Notamacropus eugenii: one gene and its partner. The protein of the gene in region 2 interacts with the protein of the main gene of each other region in a biochemical or structural test. Links are inferred from orthologs where the notes say so. Each region holds a gene or a part of one and is shown on either strand. Other genes may lie near its edges.

Region 1 (7,671 bases), about 9.0 Mb from region 2:
CTTCCTCAGAGAGCTCTCCCTGCATCGCATGTCCTCCTCCCCCTCACTATTTAATCCTTCCCACGTGTTTCAGGGCCTCTCCACTCTCTGCAGGCCTGCAGCAAAGCTTACTGTCTGTGTCTCTCTCACTGGACTGCCTGCCTGCATTAATATTGGTTCCAAGAGACTGAAGGTCGAGTAGTACAAATACCAGACTGGGGATCACAAGATCTGGTCCTGGCTCTGTTGCTAACTTATTTTGAGACCTTGGACAAGTCCCCTCCCTTCTCCAGGCTTCAGTTTCCCCTTGAGAGAATTGGATTTGATCTCTAGGGGTCCTTTAAACTCTGATGTTCTGTTCTAAGGGCCCTCCCAGCTCTGACATCCTAAGTTCTAAAGATTCTTCTAAGGTTAGAGACTTTCTATCTTCTAAGGAACTTCCCAGCTCTCACATTCTATGTTCTTGGGCACTACCCAACTCTTTCCATAAGCTAAGGCCTATTTTAGCTCCAGCAGTCTATATGTTCTAAGGCTCTTCCCAACTTTGACATACTACAGCATTTTCTAGGGCCCCTTCTAAGCTCTACTATTCTAGGTGCTAAGGCCTGTTCCAGAAATTTGTGACAATTTATGATTCTTTATCTTGTCTAAACTCCCTAAAGATGGGAAACCATTGCTTCTCCCTCTTCTGTCTTCCTACAGGTCCCAAATACATGATTGGATATGCAGCAAATGTTCAATTAGGACTAGATGACTGTTGGTCATCCCCAATAGAATTGTGTCCTTGGGTACTTGTAAGAGCATACTTTGCTTTGTTAGGTTTTGGTCCTTACTGAGAATGGAGGTGATAAGTGAGGAGCATCTCTGGCTTGATTCTCTAGGCATCTGGTCTTATGGCCTGACCTTGGAGAGTCAGGATCTACTGATACAGTAGCTCTAGCTCAGGAATCATAGCAAATGACTTGACTTGCTTTTGCCCATAAGATCAGTCTAGAACCTAGTGAGCAGAGCTGAAACGAGTACATAGAAGTCTAGTTGGGGAAAGATCAATATACGAAAGAATTTCCTAGCTGTCAGAGCCAGCCAACAATGGGATGGAATGTTCTGATGGGTAGTGAGCTCCACATTGCTGCAAGTCCACAGACAGATGCAAGATGACCACTGGTGGATGATGTTTGTAGAGGAGATCAGACTTCAACAACAAGGTCTCTCAGGTTCCTTTCAGCTCTATTCCTTTCATTTTCTGAAAAATCATAATCCTTGATCTCAGAACAGATAGACTGGAAGAAGGTCAGGAAAGCAAAGAAAGGACCTAGACCACACCCTTAAAACTGCTTTGTCTGGTAGGCAGAGATTTCAAACAGCTCTGGTCATTTTCCTGTTCCCTACCAACCCTGTCCTAGAGCTTTCTGGGCATACAACACCCAGATACATCACCCAGAGGGCTAGAAGTTGGCAGATTTCCCAGGAGGTCTCAACTTCAGATAGGAGCAGGTGAGATGGGAGGTGAGGTCATACTGCCCTGTATGTTTCCTGGTTAATGCAGAGAGTTGGCTCCTTTCAAGTCCTGCCCCCTTCTCCTTTGGTTTCCTTTGTCACTGGGCCTATAGCAGAGTAGGATCCTCCACCCTGCTCTAGGTCTTTGACTTTCACTGGAACACCTTGCCCTCGGGGATGAAGGGTGGAGCTGGTGAATGTATCCTTTTAAAGAAGTTACTAAGGGCTGGGCATCTCAGAGCTTCTGGGGAGCCAGGAAAATGGATCACTTGTGCTCTGTGGGGTTGATTTGGAACAGTCTCTAGCCTCAGATGTGTATGGTGGGCCTACTTGTGTTTCCCACCCTAAGGAACTCCCAAACAAGAAGAGAGAGAGACCTCTCATTTATACCGCAGACCCCCTTCCTCTGAAAACTTGTATATTATTTCTAATCAGTGGGCTTGGGTTAAGAGTGGGCCTTCCTCCCCCAGTTCTCATCTTTCCCTCAGGGCCAGGTCACTGGGCAGAGTGCAGACAGACAAGAATAGAATGGAATGGCTCCATCTACCAAGGTCATAGGGAAGAGGAAGAGCACCTGAACACAGGCCAAGGGAAGAAGGTGAGCTGAGGGGTCCCAAGACTCGGATCTCATCTTTATTCAGTTCAGGAAAGCATCTTAGAGAAACTGGCATGACCAAACTCTTATGCTTGGTCACCCCAAAAAAAACTAGTTTGGAAGATGCAGAAGTAGATGTCAGAAAGAGTTTCCTAACAGAACTAACCCAAAGCAGATCAGAGTCCCCCAGGATGTGGTGGGTTCCCCCTCGCTCAAGGTTGTTAATGAAAGGCTGGATGACTACTCCTTAGTTGTATTGTAGGAGAGATTGTTGTTCAGGTACGAGTTGGACCAGATGGCCACCTAGGGACTGACAGGTCTGAGATTCTTTGATTCTGTAGCTGAGGGGACAGAACACTGGGCCTGGAGTCAGGAAGACTGACCAAGTTCAAATCCAGCCTCAGACACTTATTAGCTGTTTGACCCTGGACAAGTTATATAACCTCTCTTTGCCTCAACTTCCCCAACTATAAAATGGGGGTAATAGTAGCACAAGTTGTTATGAAGATCAAATGAGATATTTGTAAGGTGCCTGGCACATAATAGGTACTTAGTAAATGCATGTTTCCTTCTTTCTTTAGTTACTTCCTTCTGCATTTGTACATGGGGTGTTCAGGGAGGACCAGCACCTCTGGCATGAGGGCTGCTCATCCACCCTTGATGTTCACCTCTCACCTAATTCTCACCTGTCACTCCAAGAAGCTGTAGCATGAGCAGTGGTCACACCTTGGTAAAATCCCCTTGGCAGACAGGATAAACCAGGATGAGGATACCTGACAGACCGAAAAACTATCAGCAAGTTAAGGGGATATCTACCCCAAGCTTATGAAGACTTACCTGGAGGAATGGGCAGATGAGAATAATTTGTTCCACCGACCATGAAGGCAGCTGAAGCAAGCTCTGTGGAGCACTTAGAGCTTGGTCAGACATTGAAGATGCCAAGGTCATCCACTGCATCTCAGGCTATCACCAATCATCCTGACTTCGCTCCTGCCACTGGACTTGGATGACTCAAGAAGAGAGTGAGGCTGATGACTTTGTGCAACTTTTCCTCACTTAAATCCAATTCATGAGCAAGTGAAGACATCACTCAATATGTAACTGGTGCTTTTTCAAAATGAAGGACAAACAATAGTTTGGATTAGCTGGCTTCTTCCAGATGAGATTCTGAGAGGAAGCTGAAGTATCCTACCCAACATCACATAGGTAGTAAAATGGCAGAGCTGGGCCTTAAACTCAGGTCTCCTAACACCAAATTCCATACTCTTTTCACTCCCCACAGATCTCCTGCCTCTAAACTCAGATGGGGCAAGCAACACAAAGTAGTCAAAATTGCTCCAGATTTGGAGTCAGGGGTTCTGGGTTCAAGAGCCAGTTCAGCTACTACCTGTAGTAACATGAGTTATATAGGGGTAGAGACAGGAAGAGAATCACAGGGAGGCGGTGTGTGGGCTAGGTCACCTAACTGACACTGTCCCTTATTGTGCAGGGATTAGGCAACACAGATATTCAAATATTGAAACTGGGAATGAATTGTCAGCCTGACCTGGTTTTTGCCAGGTATCCACCCTGGGGGAAGGGAGCATCTGTCCCTGCCTTTGGAGAGCCTCCTCGACTAATAGCCTCTGGTCCCAGGAGCTCCCCACTCAATGGAGGAGATAGGTCAAAAATAGATAACCACAGCAGGATCTTAAGGGGACAGCAAAGGTTGGGGATTATATTATACCCAGTGGAGTTCAGCCAATCCAGTTTCCCCACGGGAGAGGGTTGGAAGGTACAAATGAAAGAAAAGGATGGGGCTAGGGTGTGGCAGACAGGGAGGGGATTGTTCCAGTCCCCTCCCCCACCCCCCCAGGAGGCCCTGCCTGAGGCTTTAGTTATTTAATGTAGTCACAAGCTGACAAAGGACCTCAAGGCAGAAGGGGTGGGACAAGGATTTATGTTTCCTGCAGGTGTTAGTGGCCTGGTCTGAGGTTTGAGGGAGGCACCCATGGTGCTCTAGGTGGCTCAGAGATTCCCTGGGGCAGTGGCCTCAGCATTGAGGAACAGCACTCAGCTGGTGAATTCCAAGGTGGACCTCATGGGTAGAGGGGACCACTGGGTTATGGCCTCTGGTCACCAGTATGGTAGGGAAGACTACAGTAGCCTCTCTGCAACTTTAGACACCGTTGGCCATCCTCCACACCCAGACTCTTTCCTTTCAGAACTTTTCTGACACAGCTTTCTTTGGTCTACCTTCACCTGTCTGTGTGGGCTTCTTCTCTGCCTCCTTTGCTGTATGGTCATCATCATCCCCACCACCCCACCACCTCTTATACTTCGTGTTGCTACAGGCTCTGACTGGGGCCCTCTTCTTTTCTCTATACCCTCTGTCTTGGTAATCTCACCACCTCCTTATAGGATTACTATCTCCTCTCTGCAGATATGTCTATCCAGCTGTGGTTGTTCCAGGTTCTGGGCCCACATCACCAACAATCTCTGTACACGTTCAATTGGATGACCTGTAGGCATGTGAAACTCAACATGTCCAATCACAATTCATTATCTTCTCCCCAGACTTGAGAGATTGGAAGGACAGTAATGCTCTCAATAATAGGGGAGTTGGGGAAATGGGTAGGTTTGAGAAGTAGATATGACCCTACTCATTTCCCCAACTTCTCCATTTCTATTGAGGGTATTATCATCTTTCCAGTCTCTCAAGTCTGTCACCTTGGAGCTAGCCTTGAGTCTTCATCTTCTTCTAGACAGACCAATGGTCAAGCCTTGTCCATTCTACAGCCTCAGTATCTCCATCTCTCCCTACTCTCCCCCTATATTATAACCACCCTAGCCTATCCTGGAACCACCTCTTATCACCTGTTGTCCTAACTACTGAAGTAGCCTCCTAACTTGCCTCTCTATATCTGGACTCTATCCTCTTCAATCCAACCTCCACACAGCCTCTTACTGAAGGCGTTTTCAGTATGATGCCAGGCTGCCTTTCCAGGTTGATACATGACTCACGTTCACATATTTTACACAGCAGTCAAACTGGCCTGCTTGCTGTTTCCTTGTACACAACATTCCTAACTTCCATCTCAATACCTTTGCACAGCTCCCACAGGCCTAGAATGTTCTCCCTTCCCATCTTTGCCTCTTAGAATGCAGAGCTTCCTCGCAATCTCCGATCACCTGGGGCTCAAAGATTTTCCTGAACCCTGTGATAGCAAATGCTCCCTATGAAATTACATGGTATATGTGATGTATTTACTTACATGTATGAATGTAGATATTGTTTCTCCATTAGAAAATAAGATTCTTGAGAGCAGAAACTATTTCCTTTTTGTTTCTATCCCTAGCACTTAGCATAATGGCTGACACATAGTAATTTTTTGTTGTTGTTTCAGATGTGACTGACTCATCATGACCCCATTTGGGGCTTTCTTGGCAAAGACGCTGGAGTGGTTTGCCATTTCCTCGCTCATCTTACAGATGAGGACACTGAGGCAACCAACACTAAATGATTTGCCCTGGGTCACAGCTAGTAAGTATCTGAGGCTAGATTTGAACTCATGAAGAAGAATCTTCCTGAGTCCAGGCCCAACAGCTCCATCCACTTGGCCATCTAGATGCCAAAGTGAAAATTTTAGCACACCCTAAACTGTATATACTTAGTAGCTTACAAATCATTTTACTCACAACTTCATGAAGTTTTTCCCCCGTCTTGATCTAAAGCTTTGTTTTCATTTGTGTATGGAACACAGGATGTGTCCTGCCACCAAACCAGACCCAGATACCTCCCATAACGTATAATCTTACAAGGTTGCTAGAGATGTTCAGTGACTTGCCCACAGTCACACAACTAGTTCTGGTCCCATTTTAGGTGGTGGCCCAGTGGATAAATAAACAGGACTTAGAGTCAGGAAGACCTGAATCCAAGTCCTGCCTCAAACACTTACTGGCTGTGTGACCCTGGGCAAGTCACTTAACCCTCTTTGCCTCAGTCTTCATTTATAAAATGGGGATAGCAAATAGCACTTACCTCCCAGAGTTGTTGTGAGGATCAAATGAGACAACCTAAAAGTGTTATTACTGTTATTAATCATGCCTATTTTATAGATGAGGAAAGTGAGAGAAGTTTAGTGATTTGACCAGTTACATAGCCATGAGATATCTGAGGCTGGATTTGAACTCCTGACTTCCTGACTTCAGGTCCAGTGTATAACAACTCACAGTTCCATAGCATTTTAAGGTTTGCAAAGCTCTTCACCTGTATTATTTCATTTGAGGCTTATAATAAGTCTTGGAAGTACGTTCTCAAATGAGTCTATGTAAAGTGCTTTGTAACCTGTTTCCTAGAAACTGTCTGAGATTTTGGGAGGGCATTGAGAAAGCCAGTCTCTTTTCCAGAGGCCGAGGACAAGCTAGGGCTGGGGGAAGGGACAGGATGTTCTTGGAGGCGTTAGGAGAGTTCTTTTCAACTTGAGAAAAGTGACCTCCAAACATGCTCCCTCACCTAGGGCTGGCTTAAGCCTTTGTGGCCCCGTGGTTTGACCTGTGGCTTCCTCTGAACTATTTGGTGCGACTAGAGAAAGAAAGGGTCAGCAAGGAGCTGTGAACGGTGGGGGGCCGAGAAGAGACTAAAGGGTAGGCAATAATATCCAGCTTCCTGGGTCCCCGGAATGCATGTGTGCCCTGCCAAAGGGTCCAAGCCCACCGTCCTCCTGGCCGGCTACAGGAACATAGCCCTCAAGCCGGTACTGCCCCATAGCCGTCTCACATGGACGTCTCGCCCGGATCCCTAGCCTTCTACGCCCACCGGATGTTCTCGGACCCTCACTTCGGTGAGGGCAGGCTCTGGGTCTGACCGCGGCCAGTCATTAGACTCTAGCACCACCCCCAGACAGCTCCATGACCAGAATCAGCTCAGCTCCCAGCCTCTAGCCACTCCCCACCCCAGATCAGCCCAGTGCTCAGTAACTGGCACCCCTCCGCCCTTCATAGGCCCCACCCCCGTCTCTGGCACCTCCCAGACCTCGCCCTCCACACCTGGCCAAGTCCCTAAACCCAGTCCTGGCTCCAAAATCTGCCCTACCTGCAAGACAAGCCCCGCCCCAGGAGAGTCCCAGTCCAGTTCTCCTCTGTTTTAGACTAGTTCCCGTCCCCAGGAAGAAGTCCTACTCCCCAACCGATCCATGCATCTTTCCCATCGTTCCTCTCGACCTCAAGTTAATTCCTGGTCCCCATCCCCGGGATTCTCGCCCCTTCCCACCCTTCCCCAGTTTCAGCCCCATCCCTAGCCCAGATCTAGTCCCACGCCCGGAGCACTCTTTTGCTCCAGTGCTTTCCCTATTTGTGACCACCCAGACCACCGTCTACCTACACACAGGGTCCCCACCTCGTGCTTGGCCCTTCCCTTGGGACCCAGGGCCCTGTTCTACGTCCTGCACCTGGCGATGCACATCACTCCTGAGGAGAAGACTGATGTAGGCCCGGAAGCTAAACGATGAAGTAAGTGCTGCTGGTGAGCCACGGAGTGCTGCGTAGAGAGCTTCACTGACTCAAGAACTCCTGGTGCCCGCCTCATCTCCATGAAGAACACCTGCGGCGTCATCACAGCT
Region 2 (7,175 bases):
CATAAGAACACATTAAGAATACAAGTATATTTACACACACAGTCTCACTCATTTGCCACTATATTGCCCAATCATAGAACCTTTAAGAGTGCCTCCTGGGGTTCACTTTATATTTGAAATTCTGAATGAATCTTTACAATTCATTCATAAATACCTTAACAAAAAGTATTACAACTTAGAACTGGAATATAGCTCTCCATCTGGTTTTCCTAACAATGATATTTCTCTAATCCAATCTCTCCGACAGGGGTTCTTAAGGTGGGTTGCATGCAACAGTTTCTTTAAAATATCCTGAGAACTGTATTTCAATATGATTAGTTTCTTTTGTACATTTTCAGTATTTTATTTTATGCTTTTAAAAGCATTATTCTAAAGAGTCCACAGGCTTCCCAAGTTTGCCCAAGGGTCCATGATACGTAAAAGGTTAAGAATCTAGGCTCTAATTACTTTACCAGCTCAGTAAAATTAACTAAAGGAAAAACCAAAGCTTAACAAATGAAAAAGTTTCCCTAAAGTTTCTCTTGGAAGGAAACAAAAGGTAAACCAACAAAGGGAAAAAACCTCAATCGTTTGAGGATTAATACATTCAAGTGCTTACTCTAAGAAACCTTTCATTTAAAACTCCAGTTACAAAGATTTACCTATTGGGAACTTGGTATAGGCCTAAAGGATCTGGTAACCTTACGATTTCTTACCCTGTTTGGCTCTACAAAATAAGGAGTTCTGTGTATGGTTACAGCTCTAAACATAAGAGCCATTACTACAAATGCACTAAAAAAGTACACTATAGGTCATTTTTGATGTGTTTCATCTAGATCTGTTTTTAGATACTTTTGGAAATATAAATTCCCAGACTATTCAGCAGTTGATGAGATGTGCTAGCAGAAACTACTTCGTAGTTAAAACGCAAATGAGGAGCTACTCAATGGCAATATAAAGACTAATTATTAGAGCCATCTTTCAGAAAAATCAGTGTTTTTTGAAAATGGGTCACAGATTTTAAGCATCACTTCCAATAATTAAGAAAAATATTTACATATCAAAAGAGAAGGTGCTTAATGAAAAGCAATGCATGTCACTTTGGTGCCACCACGCTAAGCCAATCTGACACTTACAATGTCACAACACAGTAAACCTCAATCTAAAAAGGGAACACCCCCTTCCCAAGCAGGTTTCCAAAAGAACTGAATTACACCACACAACCGAGAACGGGCAACACTAAACACAATATTAGATCTAAAAATGTTTCCCATTACATCAAATGAGATGTAAACTTGACTGATCGGAATGCTGACAATCACAGGTTTCAATTTTTGTTTTTAAAGTCGGGCCCCCCTTCAAGACAGAGAACAAAGAACAGCCAAGTCACTTCTTTTCCAAGTCTCCTGATGCTTAAGGTTGCCAAATAAACTAACGTTCCCAGCCCTGAAGGTTCCAGATTTTAACGTACCCAGTAAATCTATTTATCATAAAAAACTCTTTTGAAAAGAATCCCACAAGTAGAAGCTAATACAAAGCAGATGGGTTGTGGGGATAAGGGGAATCGGAGCTCCCAGGTGATTGGACCGCGCGATGTGGGAGCGGAGCGCGTTCAGCAGACACAGAACAAAGACTGGCACCCCCTTTCTCTAGTCAGTTCTCCAACCAGGATAAAACCCACGACAACACGCTCTCGGGGCGAGGCGCGGGGGAGCAACTTCCCTCCAGGCCGAGTCCTCCGGCATTAAGGATAAAGAGCGCCTCGCCCCCCTCCCCCGGCTGTCGCGGTTCAGAGTCTCGAGTGGAGAACAGGAGGATCCCACGCCGTTAAACACCCGCGGGGGGAGGGGAAGGGAATGCAGGGTACGGCCGGGCCCACAGAGGACGGCCCTGGGCGGCCAGTAGGGTCGGCGGAGTCGTGTCCACTTGGGGCCGCAGGCGCCCCCGGCCGGCCCCGCCCCCTGCCCCTCCCACCCCAGCCCGCCTCGGTCCCTCCCGGCAGGGCCCTCCTGCTGGGGGCACCCGCCGCCCCGCCGCCAGGCCAGCCTCGGGCGGCAGAGGCCGACTCCGGGCTCCGGCCGTCGGCCAGTCAATCAAAAGGCATGGAGGTGGCGCTTTCGAGGCGCCGGGCACGGGCTGCGGATGGAGACCCTCGGAGGGGGGCAGGACCCCGGGTTCCGAAGGGACCGTCGTCACCCCACCTCTCACAGTAGTGACCGGGAAACGGAGGCCCTCCGGCACCTTGTTCACCGCCCCCCCCCCATTTAACTGATGGGGGAGCTGAGGCTCGGAAGAGTCCTCGGGCATCTCGCTCGCCCTCTCCCCTCGGTTTTACAGGCGGGGAAACTGAGGCCTCGGCTTCCCTTTCCAGCCCCGCGACCTAACAGTGACATTTCCCCGATGCCACCCCTCCCTCGGGGGTTCGTAGCCCGGGCCTGGGGAGGGGGGGCGCTCCAGGACCGGAGCCACCGTTCTCTCCGCGGAATCCACCAGGGCCCCTTCCGTTACAGCCGCAGAAAGAGCGGGGAGCCCACACCTCCCTCCCCCGCTTGGGCCCGGGCCCCCTCCGAGGCTCGCCGCCACGGGGCACCGGCTCACCTGCAGCCAACAGCTGCATGGCGTGGGTGAAAGACGGGTCGAGGGAGTCCTTCTCCGCCATGAGTTCGGGCAGGTACTTGTTCTCGGGCTCCATCTTGGCGGCGGCCGTGGCGGAGGGCGGCAGCAGCGGGGTCGGGGCAGGCGCCGGGCCGCCCCCGCCCACCTCGGGGCCCCCGCCGGTGGCCGAGGGAGGCAGCAGCGGCGGGGGCTGCGTGGTCGGCGCGGCCCGAGAGCCGCCGCCACCCCGAGGGCCTCCGCCGCCGCCCCGGGGCCGGTGAGAGGGCAGCGGCTGCCGGGACGGCGCCTGGCGCGGCGGCGGGTGGGCGCCTGAGGGATCCACGGCGCCGCCGCGGCCCAGGGGCCGGCACAGCCGCGCGACGGGGTCGTCCCGGCGCTGCATGAGTGCGGAGCGGGCGGGAGGGCGGCTGAGGAACGGAGCGCGGCGGCGGAGGCCCGCGCAACGGCGGCGGTTGGCGGAGGCGGGAGAGCTGGCGCGGAGAGGACCGGAGCAGACCAGAACAACCCAGCGAGAGATCGACCCAGACACAGAGTGAAAGAGATCACCGGAAGTGAGCGACTGCGCACGCGCGGCCCGCCACCGGTGCCGCCCTGCTCCCAGAGCCGAGAACAAAGTCCCCGACTCTGCCACGGCGCCTGCGCGTCACCACCGGCGCGCACCTTGTTAAGTCCCCGCCCCTCACGTCGACCGCCTCCACTGAGGAACCGGCGGAGGAGCGCTAGCGGAGCCTGCTTAACGCCAGTACGCACGCGCTAGCCCTCCCTCGCTCCCTATAACACGTGACCAGGTTGTAGCGCGGACACGTGTCTCCACCCCTGCGGGCGGGCGGGCAGCGAGCTGGGGCGGGGGCCGTGGAATGTCTTTGTCTGAACGCTGCCCCGCGGGCTCGGGGAGAGCCGGGTTGGCCTCCGCTTGAGCCCCGCCCTTTTCTAACAGTCCTCGGGGGAAGGGACTCCGGAAGATAGTGAGGTGTCTAAAAGAAAAAGGGGATTCAGGCCCTGGGCGGGTAGGGCTTTGGAGGGAAGCTCGGCCCGGGTCCGGGGTGAGGCTCCGGGAGGGGAGCAGGGCGTGCCCCTCCGCTCAGTCCGTGCGGGGCGGGCTGGCGCCGGACCTAGCTCGGGCTCCGCGAGGCCAGTGAACCAACGGCTGCGGAGCTCCCGTGGGGCGGCAGGCTGGGCGGGGGGCGGGGATAGGAGGCGCTCCCGCGCTGCACCCACGAGAGCCGCCGGGACGGATCGCGGACCAAAGGTCTGTGCCAGAAGGTGCGAAGCTTCACCCCAGCTCCGGCCGAGCCCCGAGAAGGGCGCTCCCGGAGGCGTCGCTACAACCGCCTCTCCTACTACCTGCCCTCCTCCCACGGAACGAGAAGTTCCCCAGGCCTGTGCAGATGTCGTCATCCTCCCCGGATCTCCTCGACTTCCCAGGGTTTGGGAATGACAGCCTGGGGGGCGGGGGGAGGGCAGAGACCTTTCAAACCACGTGTACATTCCATGAAACACGTATTCAGAGGCCTGGATTTGGAATCAGTGGACCGGACCTCGTTTTGAATCCTGCCTTGGCCATTAAGCACTGAGACAAACCTCGCATCTACGAAGTAAAGGCTTTGGACTACATAAATAACCTTCAAAGTGGCATTCCCTTGTAAATCCAGGATCCAGTGAAAGCTTCAGGTTGAGTGGGATAGACTTAGTGAAGACTCCTCAGATTGTAATTTTTCTCCCAGGGGTGAGGTAAGGCCTAAAGGCTCAAGGTTACAATATTTTTAGAATAGAATAGTTCCATATAAGGATATAAAACTGTGTAGTGTATTAGGGTCTCAATGACTGGACAAAACTTACATAATTCCTCGATGTCTTCATTTCAAAAGGGATTGGTTAGATTTCGTGTCTAGAATGTAAGACCATATTCTCAGCTAATGAGGATAATGGTCAGTGGGGGGAGAGGGACTTGTGTTAGGGTCTGTATAAATCACTGTCTTTTCTTTGTCTTTGGCTTTCCTACTCCTACAGGTGAGCCCCGCTTCTCGAGAATCGAATAAATCTCTTTTCTGTCATCACTTTGAGAGGCCTCTGAGTAACTGATTTATGTAGGGACCTGAGCCATCCCACACAAGGTGTACCCATCTTCAGACTTCCCTTGGGCCTCCGTCCTCGGGCTGGGTCCAGCTTGGCCGTGCCTACTTCTAACTAGAATGGGGCACCCAGAGCCGAAGACAGCCCTCTAGACCTGCTCTGCCCAGGCCAGTGAGAGAGGTGCTCCTGCCTCCCGAGTTCTCATCGCTGCGCTGCTTTGATGGGATGCAGTACCAAAACTTTGTTACCTTTCATTCCACCAAAACTCTTAGATCTCTTTGAAAGTGTCTCACTTATCTGGTAGACTGCCTAACCAAGACTTCTCCCAAATTGTATTTCTGAGGTCCACACGTAAAACTTTATTCCTATTAAATTTCATTTTATGAGATGAGGCCCAATGTTAGGTGGTGGGTTTTTTTTTTTAACAAATGGACTTTAATATAAACAAGTGCTGGAATTAATGCACGTTTCAGGAAGTTTCTTTTCAGAATCTCTTTCTGAATCCTGTGATGAAGTGTCTTTAACTATTCCTTCCAACTTTTTGTTATTTGCAAATTTGATAAGGGTACCAACTTTGACCTTATCTTAGTCTTGGGTGAAAATGATAAATGTTAAACAGCAGAGGGCTAAGCCCAGAATTCTTCAAGAGGACACTACAGACCTTTTAAATAAATTGACATTGACCCATTAATGACTGCTTTTTGGGTCTGACCAACAGGCGCTGGATCTGTACGACTGTACTATTATCTAGTCAATATTCTATTTTGTCCCACAGAATACCATGAGACATGTAGCATTCTGCTAAAATCTGGCTATCTTTTGTCTACAACATTTCCCCATTCTACCAATCTAGTTACTCAGGGAAAACAAAGAAAGCAAAGTAAAGTTAGATTGGCATGAACTGCTGTCAGGCTGACTCGTTATGATCATTGCTTCCTTTTTCTAGATGTTCAAGAGACATCCCTTTAATATATGTTCTAGAATTCTGCCAGGAATTGAAATCAAGGTCACTGACCTATAGTTTCTAAACTGCACATTTTCTTCCCTTTTTTGAAAATCAGAAAAATATTTGCACATCTCCAGGCCCACAGCAAGTTTCATACAAGCTTCATGCTTCATACTCCTTCAAAGATCACAGAATAGCTAGACAATCACACAGACCTCTTCTCTGAGTACCCTGGGATACATCCAGGTTTAGTGACAAATCCATCAAAGGTAGCTGGGTATTTTCTTAACATTTTCTTTACTTATCTTGGGTATCAACTCATTATTACCATAAAAAGGGTCATTATTATTCAAATGGACAGGATGAAGGGCAGGACAGCAGAGAGTAAGAAGAATAATTCAATTCAGATTTTGCTTCTTTTTTTTTCTCTGAGAAAGACAAAGATCTGATGGGAAAGGGGAAAAAAAATGGCCCCTAGAATTGATGCCCAAGATAAAGCAGAGAGGTGATAAGGGAATGCCTTGTTGTCCTTGATGGATTCGTTTTACCAGGCCCAGACAAACTTAATTGGAGGGTAATGAAAAATCTAAAAGATGTGATTGTTGATCTTTGACATAATGTCCAGTACTAGCGGGGTGATGGTCTCACTGTACTCTAACCCGATCAGTCGCCATCTGGAGGATTGTGTTCTGTTTTACAAAAGGTGCTGATGAACTAGAGAGCCTACAGAAAAAAGGCAAAAAGGATAGTAAAGATTTAGGGGGCACATGACAACCACCTTCTGGTATTTTAAGGACTGTCCTATGAAATTAGACCTTTTCTTCTGCTTGCCCCCAATGGGCAGAATTAATAATAATAATTGGCATTTATGTTAGTGCTTTAAGGTTTGCAAAGCAAACCTTCCTGTCTTTACATTTTATCATCACAACAAACTTGGGAAGTGACATCATTATCTTTATTTTATCAATGAGGAAACTGAGGCAGGCAGAGGGTAAAGGATTTGCCCAGCGTCACATGGTCACAAAATATATGTCAGAGGCCAAACTAGAACTCGGACCTTCTTTACTCCAAGTTTAGCAGTCTAACCAGTAACACTCTAGTCACTGAGCCCACCTCTAAGAGCAATGGATGGACGTTGCAAAGAAACTATTGGGTTCCATAGAAAAGGCAAACTTCCTGATGATTACCACTATCCCAAAGTGGAATGGGGTGCCTTGAGAAGAAGTGAGCCCTTCACTGGAGGTCTTCAAGCAAAGGCTGGGTGGCCTCTTGTTAGGTACGTAAAGAAGATTCTTGTTTACTTATAGCTCAGACCCCCTGATCTCTGCAATCTCTTCCAACTCTTGGGATTCTGTAATTCCACGATTCTGCCTGACTTCCCTATAGAATCTATCCTTTTTCCGAGTCATTTGAAATAGTTGTTTCTCCCCAAATCTAGGGTGTGTCAGACTGTGCCTGACTTTTTTCTTCTTTACCAGAAATTCTAAGATGGAGTGGTCAATCCCCTGATCATTTTCCACATCTGGTATAGAAGAATACTTGTCGAATGCTAATAAATAGG

What was found.
Region 1: of the proteins of KHDRBS1 (region 2) and FGR, one has a biochemical effect on the other in vitro, tested with the Homo sapiens proteins (2 studies listed by BioGRID, with this or other methods). The link is inferred for Notamacropus eugenii from reciprocal best matches to the Homo sapiens genes KHDRBS1 and FGR.

What each region holds. Positions count from the first base shown.
Region 1 is NC_092876.1:68,801,963-68,809,633, forward strand, and holds the start of FGR (tyrosine-protein kinase Fgr), read right to left. Parts: upstream 3,029-7,671; coding exon 2,909-3,028; exon of another isoform or gene 2,653-2,908; intron 2,075-2,652; exon of another isoform or gene 1,231-2,074; intron 1-1,230. UniProt on the Homo sapiens protein: Non-receptor tyrosine-protein kinase that transmits signals from cell surface receptors devoid of kinase activity and contributes to the regulation of immune responses, including neutrophil, monocyte, macrophage and mast cell functions, cytoskeleton remodeling in response to extracellular stimuli, phagocytosis, cell adhesion and migration.
Region 2 is NC_092876.1:77,776,346-77,783,520, forward strand, and holds the start of KHDRBS1 (KH domain-containing, RNA-binding, signal transduction-associated protein 1), read right to left. Parts: upstream 3,106-7,175; 5' UTR 2,978-3,105; coding exon 2,578-2,977; intron 1-2,577. UniProt on the Homo sapiens protein: Recruited and tyrosine phosphorylated by several receptor systems, for example the T-cell, leptin and insulin receptors. Once phosphorylated, functions as an adapter protein in signal transduction cascades by binding to SH2 and SH3 domain-containing proteins.